2 separate regions of the Mus musculus genome follow, and region 1 is reported to be linked to region 2. The links are microRNA targets in miRTarBase. Many come from high-throughput screens and were not tested one by one. Region 2 holds a microRNA gene; the other region holds the end of a gene's coding sequence.

What was found. Region 2 holds the annotated microRNA mmu-miR-350-3p (UUCACAAAGCCCAUACACUUUC, at 5,181-5,202, opposite strand). A microRNA usually pairs through its seed, bases 2 to 8, with sites in the 3' UTR of a target mRNA and lowers its output. Matches are read on the target gene's strand: a 7mer-m8 pairs with bases 2 to 8, a 7mer-A1 pairs with bases 2 to 7 and ends in A, and an 8mer does both.
Region 1: the mRNA of Skor1 is a reported target of mmu-miR-350-3p. Seed matches in the 3' UTR shown: 7mer-m8 at 1,471-1,477.

Annotation. Positions count from the first base shown.
Region 1 is chr9:63,132,266-63,139,802 of GRCm38, reverse strand. Skor1 (SKI family transcriptional corepressor 1) reads left to right here. Exons shown (of 9, transcript NM_172446.3): 8 at 240-305; 9 at 838-1,639. The coding sequence ends at 932. Gm25064 (a small nuclear RNA gene) reads right to left here and starts at 6,520; the gene lies at 6,414-6,520.
Region 2 is chr1:176,767,162-176,775,454 of GRCm38, forward strand. Mir350 (microRNA 350) reads right to left here and starts at 5,262; the gene lies at 5,164-5,262. Cep170 (centrosomal protein 170) reads right to left here. Exons shown (of 20, transcript NM_001099637.2): 8 at 7,273-7,749; 9 at 2,552-2,709; 10 at 2,072-2,365.

The DNA of each region.
Region 1 (7,537 bases), not on the chromosome of region 2:
CGAGGCGTAAAATTACCTGGGAAGTAATGCCTAAGTTTGCTTTAATTTTGGTTAGATCCGTCTGCCTTTAAGCGCCATCCCAGGCCATTTCCTCCCCCAGCTTCCCAGCCTGCAGTTTGAAGTGTAGGTGTCCCCTCCTTAGTTTCTGGGGTGGTTTCTGTAGGGGAGAGGTTGTGCCCAGGCTGTGACCTCAGCCATCTGCCTAGAGGGTGGTCTCACAGAACTTCCATGTCTTCCAGATACCTTGTGTAACGAACTGGACCAGGAGAGGAAGGCCCGCTATGCCATCCAGCAGAAATTAAAAGGTGTGAACCCAGAAACAAAGATAAGAGACAGACAGACAGACAGACAGACAGACAGACTGAGAGAGAGTCAAGGCTGGTTGTACTATTGGGTGGGTGGGTGAATGGATGGTGAATGGTGGGTGGGTGTGTAGGTGGGTGTAGTTATGGAGATGTTTGAAAGAAAGGCGGCCTGGGTCCACGTGGATCAGAAGGGAACTGGGGTGAAATTTTATAACTTTGATGTAGGACGAAAAAGCCCATTGAGCTCTGAGCATCCGAAAATTTGCTTTCTGGCCTAACCCTAGACTGGGACAATTAGACCTCTTTGTGCCTCGGTTTCCCCGTCTGTAAAATGGGGCTAATGGACCTAAGAAATAGTTCTGACTGGCCAGAGCCTCACTCTTGCCCCTCTACCTCCCTTCTGCTCCATTGAGAATTCCTGTGCCCAAGGGCTGGATGGGTCCAGCGAGGGGGAGGGGAGACTGGTGGAGCTGGGTGGGGGGCAGGGAGGCAGGCGAGGCGGCCAACGAGGTTGGTGTGACTCTCTCTCCAGAAGCTCACGACGCCCTGCACCACTTCTCCTGCAAGATGCTGACACCCCGGCACTGCACCGGCAACTGCTCCTTCAAGCCTCCGCTGCTGCCCTAGCGCCGGCTTGGCCGCGCCCACGCGCCCTCAAGCCATGCTGCTCCTTTCTGTAAATACCCGCTGCAGTGGCGGCCCAGAGCGAGGAACAAGCCATTAGGACCTGACCGTTGTAAATACAGCCGCCCGCCCGCCGGTCCCCAGCCGGGCTCCGTTGGGTTTCCCATTGTAAATACTGCCTCGCCCCTCCTTTGAACTCCAGGGCATCAGACCTCAAGGGGTAAACTGGACCCACCGGGGAAAGAAAGGGAAGAGGGGAGACCTCTTCTACGACCCCTCCCACTCGGGCCCGAGTAGGGCCTGGGACCCCGAATGTGAATATAACGTAGCATCTTCGCTGGCTATGGCCGTGCACTCCCCGTCCTGTCCACTTCTGAAACTCTTGTTCCTAACGACAACGTGGCTATGTGCAATGGAGACAAACTGGACTGTGAGTCTCTTGGTTCAGTATTAGGTTCACTTTATTTATACTGTAAGTTATTTTACTTCCCCTGGGACCCTTTCCAGTCCTCGTTTTACATTCATTCCTCTTTGGATTTGCTTTGTGATTTTGTTGTTGTTGATGTTGTTGTTGTTGTGTAATGTAACAGCACTTTAAAAGGGCGACAACTGACTCACGAGATGGCGACCATCTTGAGCCTATTTGGGGAGACCTGTATCCGTGACTTTTGTTTTTAATAAAAAGAAAAAAAAATCTGTTACTCCTTGGGGCTGCGGAGTTGAGAGTGCATCCAGTAGGTGGAGGAGGAAGAGGGTGGGAAGGTGGAAGACGCTGCCACTCAAAGATGGGGCTTCCGGATGCAAGTGAGGACCAGTGGTCAAGGTTAGAGCGGTGGTGCTCTCTCAGGAGACCTCATAGCGCTCCAGGACCACTCTACAGATCCACCTAAAACTCACTCAATCTCCTCCCCCGCATCAGGGCTGCATCTCCCCCCCCCCCCCGGCTTTACCCGGGGAGGGGGATTACTGCCTTGTCCCCTGGACAGTGGTCCCTTCCTTCCTGCGATTTGCTTGTACAGCCGGAAAGTTAATTTTTACCCCTTACATTTCCTATGTGTGAAGTCACCTGCAGGGATTTGGGGTGCACTCAGCAAGAGAAGCCTCTCCAAGCTGTTAGGAATCCAGAATTCGATCATAATTGCTCTGCTTGCTGAAGCGGGCATCATAGACCAGGAACACTGGCCTGGTAGAAGTGAGGAGTGAAGGGCTAGAAAGGAGCTTGGCGAAACTGATCTAGAAAAGATGCTGAGAGTTTGCCGTCCCGCCCAGACAGATGCCCTGTGGTGCATCCTCAAGAAGCCTGTCTCTACCCCGAAGGAGGAAGCTCTGTCCTCATTATAATAATCTCCCCCTCCTAGTCCCAGGGCATTTTTGGAGCTGGAGAAACCAAACCCCATGAGGAATGTGAGGTCTGCTGGCTGCAGATGCAAGGGCCAGGACTCTCCCCGGGCTGTGGCCCGGAAATGCAAATCCTCACCTAGAGGCCACCAGCCTCAGTTTCTGCAAGGAAACTGCAGGAAACCCATTCTTTCCTGAGTAGTGTGGAGGACGGAACTGAAAAAGCTCTTTCTCTTACGAATTTTTCAGCCCAGACTGGCTTTCATGTCCTCCTCTGGCTAGCAAAGGTCCTGCGATGTGCCCTTTATTTTTTCCAGGTCCTCACTTCCCAATCTCCATTAAATGTCGTTCGACTGTCTCTGCCCTGAGGCTCAGGGAAACACTCCAAGAAGAAAGCCCATCTGCAGGCCGCTGCCTGGACCATCGCCTCCAAGAACAGGCTCTCAGCCTAGCACCGCAGGCTCTCCCCAAGCACTCTCTAGGGGACCTTGGAAGCGAAGTCGAAGTCGGGTCCTGCAGTTCTCTGGAGTTTCAGGCGGGGAGTTTCACTGGAGGCCTTTTGTGATGCAGGCAAGCTGGGACACAGTCTGGGTGATGGCGAAGAGAAGCAGATGCTGAGCCCCTTGCACGGGTGAAACCCAAGACTACTCAGTCCCTGGGCTGTGGCTGAGACCCTTCAAGCCTCGGATACTGAGAGAACAAGACTGGTGTGGAAGTAAGGGTGGTGGGGTCAACCAGGCAAACTGTAGGGCTCCCTCTTGCTATTCTCTTTCTGGGATCCCCAAGGCCTTGGAATCATTTATGTAGGGGTGAGGTAAAAAGGGCATGGTTACTCTGCTCACTTCTGGGCTGCACCCACCGCGAAAGTGAGACCCACTTAGGAAGTGACTTGTGTTCCCAGGGCACCCCTGCAGGAGAGGACACTTGCAGATTGCATTCGAGTATTCTGTGGTCTCAATGCATCTAAATGCACAACCCTTTTCTGTAAAATGGGCAGGACAGTTGCCACCTAAGCCCGAAGGTCCGTGGCTACACACCAACTAAGGAGTCTGGAGAATATTGAATTCTCGCGTTTTCCCTCCAAACTCCCCCAAAGTGGAAAAAAGTATACAGGGACCTTGGGCTAGCCAGAAGGAGAGCCTCAGATGGTAGGGAGCCTCTCAGGGTTGGAGGTGTTGGTGGATTCGACCTAGAAAGTTCCATCGCGCAAAAAAATAAAACAAACTACAAAACACAGAAACCCTCCTGGGCTCTGCATCACTTAGAAATGGCTTGTTCCCCCCCAAAATGTTAATAACCAAACGATTGGTATGGATGTAATTATCAATAATTATACGAATTATTGCTGATTGCGGGGCTCGTAGCTACTTTAATTAGCTTACCAGATTCTAATTAAGTTAAATGAAACATTAATAGAGAAAATATGCTTTAAAAAAAAACCCAGGATTTTTAATGTCTATTTCTCGCCACAATGTTGCCACCTTGCGACGAACTTTAGGCATTACAGCCATCGCAAGCGGCTCAGACACCTTCGCTCTAGCAGAGAAAAGTGTGCTTGCGGGATTAAGGGGGATTGTGGACACCGGATTTCTCCGGGTGTTTGCTTTGGCAACTCTGTTTCCCTGCGTTCCCTACAAGACTCTGCCTCTGGAATACAGGTCCGGAGCTGGGGAGCTATGTAAACATGCCCGTCCACGTCCTTTCTCTAGAGGAACTCCATCCCTTTTGGGAGCTGCGTGGGACAGATTGTCGCTCTCCACCACTGCGACAAACCTTTCCTAAGAGACTAAGTAGAGAGATGTTTTATGCCCTTGAGACACCAGTAAATTGCTTCTCACCTCTGTCTCCTCTGCCAATGGGTTCCTCACGTCCCTGGCACAGCTAACTTCTGAGTTCTACAGGGCTTCAGGTTCCTGAGTCTAGGAGGACACTTACTTTCTTGTTATCTTTGGCTGTATGAGTCGGCCTCCCAGGGGACCACAAGTACCTCCACAACTAAGGTCATATCTTATTTTTCCTCCAACGGTACACGGTGCCCACGTGGAATATCCACGTGAAAGGATAGTTCATCTAGGTGCTGGAAACGTCTGAGGGAAGGGATCCCCAGGTGCTTCCGGACAACAGCCACTGAGATGCAATTACGCTCATTTACATAAGGTTAATTAAGCTCGAGAGCTCGCTGCTCTCAAAGAAGATCCTTCATCAATAGAATTAGTGTTGGGGCAGGGTGTCGAGTAATTTATCATCAACTTAGGAAAGAAAACCCTTCCTCCTGTCCCAACTGTGTCTCAAGAACACTACCTCCACATTTTGCAAGCCCATGGTTCACACATTCCCAACTACCCTGCCACACCGTACAACCGTAAGCCTTTGCAGATATGCAACTCTCACCTAGAATCCGGATCGCCAGTAGAAGCAAAACTGCCCTTCACGACCCCTCCATGCTTTCCATCATTCTAAACAGCCTCACCTGGTCCTCCCCATCCAGAGGCCCCGGTGGTGTTCGGTGATGTGCTAAGAGTATAAACTCTGTAACCAAGTTCTCTGCCTCTCCTTGTGTGGTAGGGAACCCACAACAAGAGTTGGAACTCTGTTTCTGCTTAAAACATGACTTCATGCAGGGATGAGCTAATGCAGGTAAACCCTGGAAGACAGTCTGGGTGAAGAAGAGCTAGCACATCTGTGTGTGATAGGAAAGGACACACCCCCATAGGGCATTATCCAGTCTGTGGACCTCCCCTCCTCTAGCGCCCACGAAAGGGGACAGAGCAGTGCTCTCTCCAGCCTGGCCTTCTGAGCTTTCTGAAGACACTTGAAAGCAGCCATAAAAACCCACGTTGGAAAGACATCATAAGGTGCCAACGTTGGATGGCTACAGGTGGCCAAAGGGGCAAGAGATTGGCCCAAGTATTTGAGCAAGTTAGAGTAGAGCCAGAAAAGACAATCAGGGCTTTAGATTTTTTTTTTTTTCCTAGCCCTAAGGATTGCATACCCCAACAGAATGCCAGGTCCTGTCCTTAAGATTCAGGGGGTTTCTACTGAGTTCCTATACCACTCCATTCCAACATAAGCGATCCTGCCAGTCCTTCCTGTCGGAGGATGAAGCACCACACTAGTATCCGTAGTGACTTTGATTGACAGCACTCTGGGAGATAATTTAAAACTGTTTATCCAAATGGGACATCTGATTGAAACAGAACTGTTGATACGATTCTAGGCCAGTCTATGCTTTAAAGGAAGGCGGAAAGCCGAGGCGCAAGGAGTCCCACAGATCTTGATTCAGCCACTGTAATCAGGAAGGGGTCATGTCACCTCCACAGACTAAAACAGAAATATATACAGAGTGGTACGCTGCTCTACAGCCAGCGGCGGCATGTGGGGTTCACCTAGTCCACCCTGGTCTTCAGGGCTGATCACAGGTGTCACTGGGGCGAGCCCGGGAACCGCAGGCGTCCCAGGGGCTGCAGAGCCCACGCGCGGGCTCAGGAACCAGGGAAGCACATACCCCATTTTTCTTTGAGGAAGAAATTGGTATGTCAGAAAGCACTGAGTAAATCAGCACAGGAAATTTGAACTTAAGGAGGGTGGTCGTTTCTTCTTCATCTTGATGGTTAAGATTTAAGCATTATTTATGCACTAGTTATTTGGCAATAACTAGTAAATATTGTGCAACCAGGAAATTTTGCTTCCATAGCCAGTGTCTCTTCAAAGGTATCAGACCTAGTTTTAAAGGCTTGCTAGTCTCGCCCAGGTGACTCTACGGCTTTAGCAAAACCATTCCTTAGGGCTAAGGTGAAGAAATAGGTTATTGAGGAGGGGAGAGATGAGCTGGAGCCAGGTGTGGTAGTGCACGCCTGTAATCCCAGCAATGGGGACGTGGAGGCAGGAAGAGCTTAAGTTTGAGGTTATCCTAGACTGTATAGCAAACTCGGGGTCATGGTGGAACCTGTGAGACCTATCTCAAAAATTAAAATAAGTCACAAACTGCAACTGAAGCCCATGGATAAGGCGCATTGCAAAGTGATGGGTCTGCTTATGTCACGCCTCACATTCCTTCCTTGAGTACAATGGTTCGATTTAGTCAAGCAAAAGGTAAAACCGTTGGGGCTGTTTTGGACTTCATGAGGGAAAAAAAAATTAAGTAGGAAAAATATGGAACGCTTCACGAATTTGCGTGTCATCCTTGCGCAGGGGCCATGCTAATCTTCTCTGTATCGTTCCAATTTTAGTATATGTGCTGCCGAAGCGAGCACGAACAGCCCATTTTCTCAGGAAGTATATAAGGACAAAATTTTAAGTTCCTTTTAGATTATGGTGAGAAGTTTCTATATTGTTTTCAAAATCAATGACTCCCCAAAGTAGTACCTTCTAGGTTTTATGTTATATGTTCGAAATTTTTTTATTTAGACTCAGAGTAAGTTCATTTATATTCGAAAACTCTTTTTACATTGTATATGCAAATGAGGGGACGATGGGAAACAGACTTGTTCGGGACTGAGCTGTGCGCAGCCCTGAAGTCACAGTCCGCCACGTGATGCGCGCTGTGCACGCGCCCGACCGCACCGGGATCGCGCCCAGCCGCGCAGGGCCCCGCTGTATCCTAGGGACCAGGCGACGAGCATAGGGCGTAGGTTGCAAGCGGCTCATCTAGCCAGCCCGGCTTCTGAGGCTCTCCACCCACGAATCGGTCGCCGAAGCGGCCTGCTCTAGGTGTATGGGGTGTGAGGGCAATCTTGGCCTTAGTTTCCCCGACTTGTTGGAAACAGCGCCCTACCGTTGCTGGCAGTGGTTGCGGGGGAGTGGGGAGAGGCCACTCTCGCTGCTACTGCGTTTACTAAGGGCCAGGCACTTTAAAGTCCCCGCACCTCGCAGGTTAGGAAACTGAGGCTCTGGCAGGTTAAGCCAAGTGGGCCTGCGCGCCCTGAAAAGAAAGTGAGATTTGGGTGCAAACCTGGTTCAGAGGCCGGTCTCTTCTCCTGCGCAGTAGGACTCCGAAGAAAGAGTCTAACCTTTGCGGGTTAGACTTTACCCCCAAACTCAGACTACTTTGCCTCTTGTCCTTCTTTGCTCTGACAAACCCAGAGCGCCGACTGTCGCCCCCGACTCTTTAAGAGACAGTGAGCAGGGAGCTCCGGTGTCAGCGAGGGACACGCACAAGCACACACTTACACCGCGAAATGACTGTACAGGAGGGGGTCACTGAGCGATCTTTGAATAGTGACTTGATACACAGGCAGCCCTGAGAGGACAGGGACAGAGATTCCCAGGCA
Region 2 (8,293 bases):
CAGATAACTGAGCATGTCTGTTTATTACTCTAGACCTTTCAAGTCTCTGCTTATGCCTCAGTCTAGCTTTTTTTGCCCTTTATTTTCTCTGCAATCATCCATTTATCACTTCATCTTCTTCAGATGTCTAAATCCAGTTCTCCATGTTTGTTCTAGCAAAGCCTAGTTTTAAGCTGGCCTGACCTCGGCGTCTAGCTTTAACCATACCTCCTGAACTCTCAGCTTTCTTACTGTGGCAGACACATGACAATGGAGTGACTTTGAAGCAGTATTGGTTTTAGATTTTTCTGGTTTACACAACTTAAGAATGGACAAATTAGCTATCCAGTTGCATAATACCATTCTTTTTAATGGTCCTTGCTCTAAAATCTTGGGTTTCTCCATTCTGAAAGTGATGATGTATTAAAGGGCTCCTTGAGAATGAAAATGATGCATATGATAATTTTAGACAACAATTAATGATCAGATTCTGTGAACTCCCCATTGCCTATCACTTTCCTAAGTAGGCCTATCTGTAGAAATGCCTTCTTTCTGCACACTGCACCAGGCCAGGCTTGTCCCTTGTACTATAATTTCCACCTTGGGTTTTTTTTTTATTTAACCCCTTTAGTGCTGAAAAAACTTTACAGGACTCACCAGACTTTGGGTAGAGAGTCATATGTAGAAATGACTAATATAAAAACTAATAATTAAGAGGTCCTCTTCATACAGCTATATGACATGACAAGCTTCCTATGTGTTTTTTAAATACCTGTTGAGCCTAAAAAGTCTTAATTTCTTAAACAAATGACACTTACGCTTAAAGAGATTGATTTAACCCAAGAGGATAAGTAGTACATATAGTTTAGACACTTAATTCCAGATGCTTGGAAACAGCCATGTTCTTAATGAATATATATAATCATAAAATAATATTTAATAAAAAATATTACTCAACTGTGGAGTAAACTGTCTATGGCCTTTTAAAGTCCATACTTCTTTTTTAACAATGGTCAAAGTACTGCTTACATATAACACTTATTTTCAAGACTAACACGTCTCTAAAAGTCAGGCACAATGCCACTCTAACAGTAGAATAAGTACAGACTCAATACATTTATGCTTACAAATTATACATGTATATCAGTCAATGCATTGCAAATACTACAGAACAAATACTAAAATAAAAATAATATAATGAGAATCAAAAGTGAACATAGTCATACTATTTTTGCCTACATCCCAGAGGGTTATATCTTGGTCGTTCTTTGACGGACAATTCTTAAAATTAGAATATTCTAAATGTTAATGTACACACGAACCACATGGTTATCTTGTTTTTAATATAGAAACTGATTGAATATATATGTATTAGCCACTTAAGTGATATCAATGTTGTTCACTCATGAGCATATTTTCAGTAACAAGAATTTAAACAAGAGATTTATGTTTAGTCAAACTTAGATTGCTATTTTCCATGTGGTAAAATAAATAGCTCATTCTAAGGTCCACCATTTACTATCATAACAAATTGGGAAGTACTTTATAAATCATACAACAATCACCTTGTAAATAAATAAGTAACATCAAAGAAATATCTGAAATATAGACAAATCATTAGGACTGGACTGGATAAACCTGACTAAAATGAACAAAACATATAAACACTGATTTTGTTCTGATTCAGCACAGATAGTAGTGAAGAGAAACAAACAGAAAATGGGTAAAGCTAATCAAAGCAAATGCTATTCATCTGCTCCCCAAATGAAATTAGTAGGTAGAAAATCAGTTAACATTTATATTCATGTAGAAATCTATTTCCTTGTTCAGTTTCCATAGAAATAAACATGAAATGACAATGAAATTTATATACCTTAAAAAGGCCCAGGTAGTTTAAGTGTAGAAGACTTAAAATTTAGGAAAATTCAGAATATAAGTGAATTGCTTGCTATTAGTCTTCTAGGTCCCTAACAAAACCCTAAAGTCCCAACTCCACCTATTGCATGAGAACATTTCGCACCACCTCTCCAATAAGGTCCAAGAGTCAACAGCCCCCCACAACTACCATCATACTCAAATTTCAATTATTTACCTTGTCAATCATTTTTCTTGCTTCCACCTCCTCACTGTTGGGATTCTCTAACTCAATGGTATAAGTACCCTTGTCACTTTGGTCATCATCATTATCCTTTTCTGAAGAGGCAGAAGTAGCTTGATTTTTTAACATTACATCCATCTCCTGGCTTGGTCTGTGCCCAAGACTCCCTGAACTTCTTAATAATGCAGTTTGTAGGAAGGGTAGTGACACCGATGGCTCCTCTGATTTCTGTTTTAACAATTTCCCATGTGGAACACCATGCCCCCCTCTGTGATGCGTAGAGCTAGTCTGTAAAGACAAAGAAACCACTTTGGCATCTGCTGGTGGAGATTTTGCTTTTTCAAGTTTTTTATGTGGTGTTGAGAAAGTAGTTTCCTGACATAAGATGCCTGAACTTTGAGTAAAAGAATATGACCTTCTCTTTCTGGAATGATCTTCATCAAAGAATGCAATCATAAAAGCAGTTTGACTTACAGCAGCCTGTTCTTGATGCTTCTCGGTGGACTGGGCCTTCTTTTTCTGCTCTGAGTGATGGCGGCGTAAATGTTCCTCCAGAGTTGCACGCTTGCTACAGCGCCTGTGTGCCCCAGCATTCTCTGAATCACTCTGTGTACCATCATCATGTTTGTTTCCTGGACACAAAAAAAGACATGATATAATAGAGAAGAAAAAAATTCCATGTAGAAAATCAGAAGCACATACAAAAGTGTCATTTGTTTTGCTACCCTTCCCCTTTCTAAGACAGAGTTGTATGTCCTTTAGTGTAACAGGTTCTGCATACTGCCCTCCTGCACAACAGTTATAATTATATTTCACCCGTCAATGAGGCCCTTTATAAACAACTGAGTTATTACTTTTCTTTCTCTAAATCTCAACTTTATAAAAGATTCCTCAATCCCTTAAAAGAATAAGCGATGTTCCATCACCTGTCATAGTTTGTACTTCTAACATTAATACACATTCGCTCTGCCTCTCAATCGTAAACCTTTGGTACTAAACAAACAAAAAAAAGACCAGACTCCAAGGTTTCAACCCTACACAAAGAACTACAGGCAACTAAGGGATGCCAAGAGTGGGGGAAACAGTCGTCCCCAAGGAAGAACACACCAACTGATTATCCAATATCAAATGGTCAGCCCTGCCTGAAAACATCAGAAAAGCAAGATTATATAGACACAGTAGATTGTTTAGAAATTATGTATGTAAGAACAATTAATGAAAAAAGTGAGCAATAATTTGAAAAAGAGTGAGAAGAGGTTTATGGGAGGGTTTGTACAGAGGAAAGGAAATGGGAAAGTAAAATGATTATAATCGCAACAAATAAAAGGAATCATTTAAAAGACTGGTGTAACCGAAACACTATTTAACACAATATGAATGTCATTAAAATGGAGTATATCTAAATTATGATATTCAATAATTTTAAAAGTTCAACACACCTTTCAATAAAAAGACTGAAATTTGTAGCTACTATTAGTAACAACCAATGTTTACAAATGTTTTCTTAGAACTCTAGTGGCTTCAAAGAGTTAAATGATGCTGACATCCTACCAACTACAAAGACTTCTACTATACCCTTCCTTCTAATAAACTACATGGTACAGATATAGGTAGATACCATGTCCAATATTATACTAGCCTCCCAATAAAGGTTTTTCTAGATCAGAGCAAGAGTTACTCTAGGCATGTGTGGTGGTTTGAATATGTTTGACCAAAGGAGTGGCATCATTAGGGGGTATGGCCTTGTTGGAGGAGGTGTGGCCATGTTGGAGGAAGTCTGTCACTGTGCTGGTGGGCTTTGAGAACCTACTCTAACCATGTGGGAGCCCGTTTTCTAGCTGCCTTCAGATGAAGATGTAGAACTCTCAGCTCCTCCTGCACCATGCCTGCCTGGATGCTGCCATACTCTTGCCTTGATGATAATGCACTAAACCTCGGAACCTGTAAGCCAGCTCCAATTAAATGTTCTTTTAAGAGTTGCCTTGGTCATGGTGTCTGTTCATAGCAGTAGAACCCTAAGACAGCATGATTTAGATGGATCACCAATCAAGGATTAACAAAAATCTTTTCAAAGTTATAAATGAATCTAGTATATTAGAATGTACATTGACAGAATCCAATCTTGTAGAAATAATCTGACTTTGAAACATTCCCACGCTGTCTACTCTAAAGTAAACATCTGTCAACAAGAGAGCAATCAGAAAGAAAAGGCTTGCTGTGTATGAAAGAATGAGATGTATGTCTAGGGGAAAGGATTTATAACGTGTATGGGTTTGTTCCTAGTAAATCTGGAAGCTCCCAATAACAGTGAAATATAACACAAGAGAACTACCTGTAAAATGTAGTACATAAAAGAAATGAGGACAGACAAGGGAATGGTAGAACTGAATGACATCTTGAAAAAGGAGGAGAAACGGAGGGCACTACTATGGTAAAGATAAGGCAGATTCAAAGTGACAGATTAACATAAAAATCAAATGAGATGAATGTAAAAATTCTTCAAATTATTTACTATCCAAAAAGTACTATGAAAAGAAAAAAAAACCCAACAATGTGCTTAATTAGTGGAATCTCCAACACTGATAATTTAGGAATCATGAGTAGTATATGGAAAACAAACAGAGATGTAACTACTAGTTTAGACACACATTTTATTATAGTACTGTTTAAAACATACTGGGTTGGATAAACTGAATAGGAATTCAGTTTGTTAAGGTCCAAAAGAATAAACACTAATAGTTTCTATACTGTTAGACCTGTAAGTAAGACTGTAAATTTACTTCAGAATTTTTAATGAAAACACAAGTTTCATTGTTACTAATCTGTTGGAGATTAGTCATTTTCTTTCTTATAAAGCTATTAGTCCTTCTAGTGCTTCTGTGTATTACCCAAGGGGAAAAGTTGAGGCATGATTAGATCAGAGTTGTAATCTTATGTTTCTATTCAGTAAAAAGACCACGCAGAAATGCTCAGCATACTTCTTAACCCCTCTGCTGATCTCTAACTATCCTAAATACAGACATTCACTTGCTATCCCTCAGGTTAGCTTGGCTGTACTTTGTGAGAAGTTGGTATAAAGCAAGCTGCAACTCTCCTAAAGGGTGAAAGTGTATGGGCTTTGTGAACATTATTTTCCTCACTGTCCCAAAGCGCATGCACTTTACTCTTGTAGGAGCAAGGCATCTATCTATCTATCTATCTATCTATCTATCTATCTATCTATCTATCTATCTATCTATCTATATCTCATATCAATTGATTTTCACAGTTGCTCAAAGTCCAAGTTTTAATAAATTGTTACTAACTACTATCTACCTCCGTTATTCAAAATCTGAATGTATCCGTTTTATAAACTAATGGGAAACTTATTTATTGATAACAGCTCTGAATTTTGAAGAAAGTTAATGTCATTTGTAAATAAGTATGAAGAAATAAATAGCATGGCTCTATTTGGGATACAAAGTGAGTTATTGCTGGGAAAAATTTTTTTTGGATGGCTTTCAAAATAGGCTAATGTCAAGTATGAAAGAATAATTCAAGGTCAATAGTGATTAGACTAATTTTTGGCAAAATTTAAAAATATATTCTGATCAGTATAAAGACAGTGTTCATATGGGTATTAATGATTCTACTTCTAATTTGGCTCAAATAGGTCCTGGTGAAGAGCAGAGAATATACTAAAATGATGGCTTAAGGATAATTGTTAATACAGAAAACATTTAACAATTACACTGCTATAAAAGGATTTTCAGTATTTCTCTAAGTATTATTTTATTTTATGCCTATGAGTGTTTTGCCTTCAAGCATGTAAGTTTACCCTGTGAGTGCCTGATACCTGAAGAAGTCACAAGAGGACACTGGATCCCCTCTTTATGGATGGTGTGGAGCCAACATATGGATGCTGAAAATTAAACCTGGGTCCTAACTGCTAAGCTACCTCTCCAGCTCCTTAACAAAGATATTTTGATGGAATCTTGCCAAAGGATCTTTTTAATTCATCCTTCATCTATGCAGTAAGTGTATGGGTTTTAAGAAGACTCATTTTCAAGGCATATACTACCTCTGATATACTACTAGCTTATCACTATTTTTCATCAAATTTACATTAGCAGTCATTTTACATGTTATCTTTAACCTTTGCATGCGTATGATTCAACTATGATATAACTAACATGTAGGAGGAGTAAATATATCACAATCAGAATTCAATTATCTTTCTGCTAGGTAACTGCTGATCACTATAATTAAAGCCAGAGTCAGTCCTGTCATTAACAATGAAGCCATTAGATAATAGCCTATGCTGAAGTCCCAGATGCAGGGTTAAGGAATACAGTAGGCTATATATGTTCCCTGACCCCAAAAAGCAGTTTTTAGAATAGAATTAATCATCTCCCCATAAAAGCCACAGAACTGTCAAATTCACAATCATTTGTTCAAAGCAATTCCCTTATTGATAGCATATTAAAATACAAAACAAAATAACACAAATTCCAAAAGAAATTCAATTCACAAAACCAGTGGGAAGAAAGCTGATTAGTTGTTACAATCAATATACATGCAATGACTGTAACTAAGTGTTGAATAAAGTATATGTAATAGCTAATATTACTATATAATATGATTAATTTCTGCAAATGAACATCAAATTGCAGTTGACAGCACAAACTTTGTGTTAGAATTGTAGATACCTAGTGAATGTATCTCAGCTGAAAGCGTCTGTGTGTGAGGAGCTTCTGCACACAGCTGACAGTGTGAAGCACTCACTCCAGCGCAATCTGACTTTCTGGTGTAAGCAGGTAAGTAGCTTAATTTTGTTTTCAAAACCTAGAAATGGTGCTATATTGGAAGCATGATAGAGAGAAAAAGAACTGTACATATCTTTTCTTTAAATCAAGAAAATGATGGGGATTATTTTCAGGAAAATTCTGCTTTGTATAATTAATAGATTTTTATTTCTGCAGGTAAAGAGATTAAATGACATAAGTAACCTGCCATCCCCAAACCAATGTGGTTTTGGCAAGAAAACAAAGAAAAGCTAATATGAATGAGAAATCTGGACATAAACAGTGCTGTTTGCTCTTGAGCTTTAAAATTAAACGTAAATTTTGAAAAAGATATTTTCCAGTGTATAATTAAGTAACAGTAGTCTGTCTGGTAACTTATGATACAATAGGAATCTCTGAAGATCACTTTACCTTTCAACCTTTTCAAGTACACAGGAACATCACTTTTAATGCTCTTGGAATCCTCCTCTGTTCTTTCCCACACCATTTGAGGAGGGTTGTTTTGGGCTAGCCAGTCAGCTACTTTATTTTCTGGTGCCATCATTCCTGTCTGAATTCCTGGCAAGTCTTGAGTTCCTGGAGAGGCCTTCTTTGACTTGTGGCGCTGGTCAGAAGTGAATTTTGTCACATGGTCTCTAATAGTTACTTTTCCTGGCGTACTGTCATCAAATTCAATGGTAAATGAAGCATGCCCTGCACCTGCTGTATGGGAACTTGGTGTGTCTTTTGTTGGAATCTCATGAATAGTGCTCTCTGCTATTTGTGATGGCTGCTGGAATTCTTTTGTAGGAATTTCAAAATAACTTGGCTCCCTACAGAAGGGAAAAAGTGCTTCTTCACTTGCAGCCGCAGACTGTCCCTCCACGTGCTTGGCCTCTGTGCTGCACCCTAATGAGGAAAAGGAGAGAGAATTCAAAATATTTGGAAGCCTGAAGCATGAGGGTCATTGGTAATGACCATTACTATTCTGAGAATCAGAAGGCAGATTAACAGCCTGGATGAAAAGAATTGCACTCGTATGTTAGACAGATGTAACAGACAAGGAACGGTCTTGACTATGATCAGGAGATGCAAGGTGAACAGCAGCAATGCCAAAAAAAAGCAAAGCAGGAAAACTCAAGGTGAGAAAGAATTAAAGTATGGATGGAGATGCTCTGTACATATACACACACTGTTTGATAGAAAAAGCATGAATAGCCTCAACACGTCACCGAATGGGCTATTTGAAACATTTGTGAATAATGTAGGGCTCTAATAGTGAAGAGGTAGTCAGGTGAAGATGGAGATATGAAATTAATACATAAGCGATGCTTTGGAATTAACAATTCCACTTACCAGTCTCAATTATAATGTTCAGAGCCCACTCTAGGACAAAACTGATATTATGGAAGCTTGGGAGATGACACACATTATTAGGTGAAAGTGGTTAGTG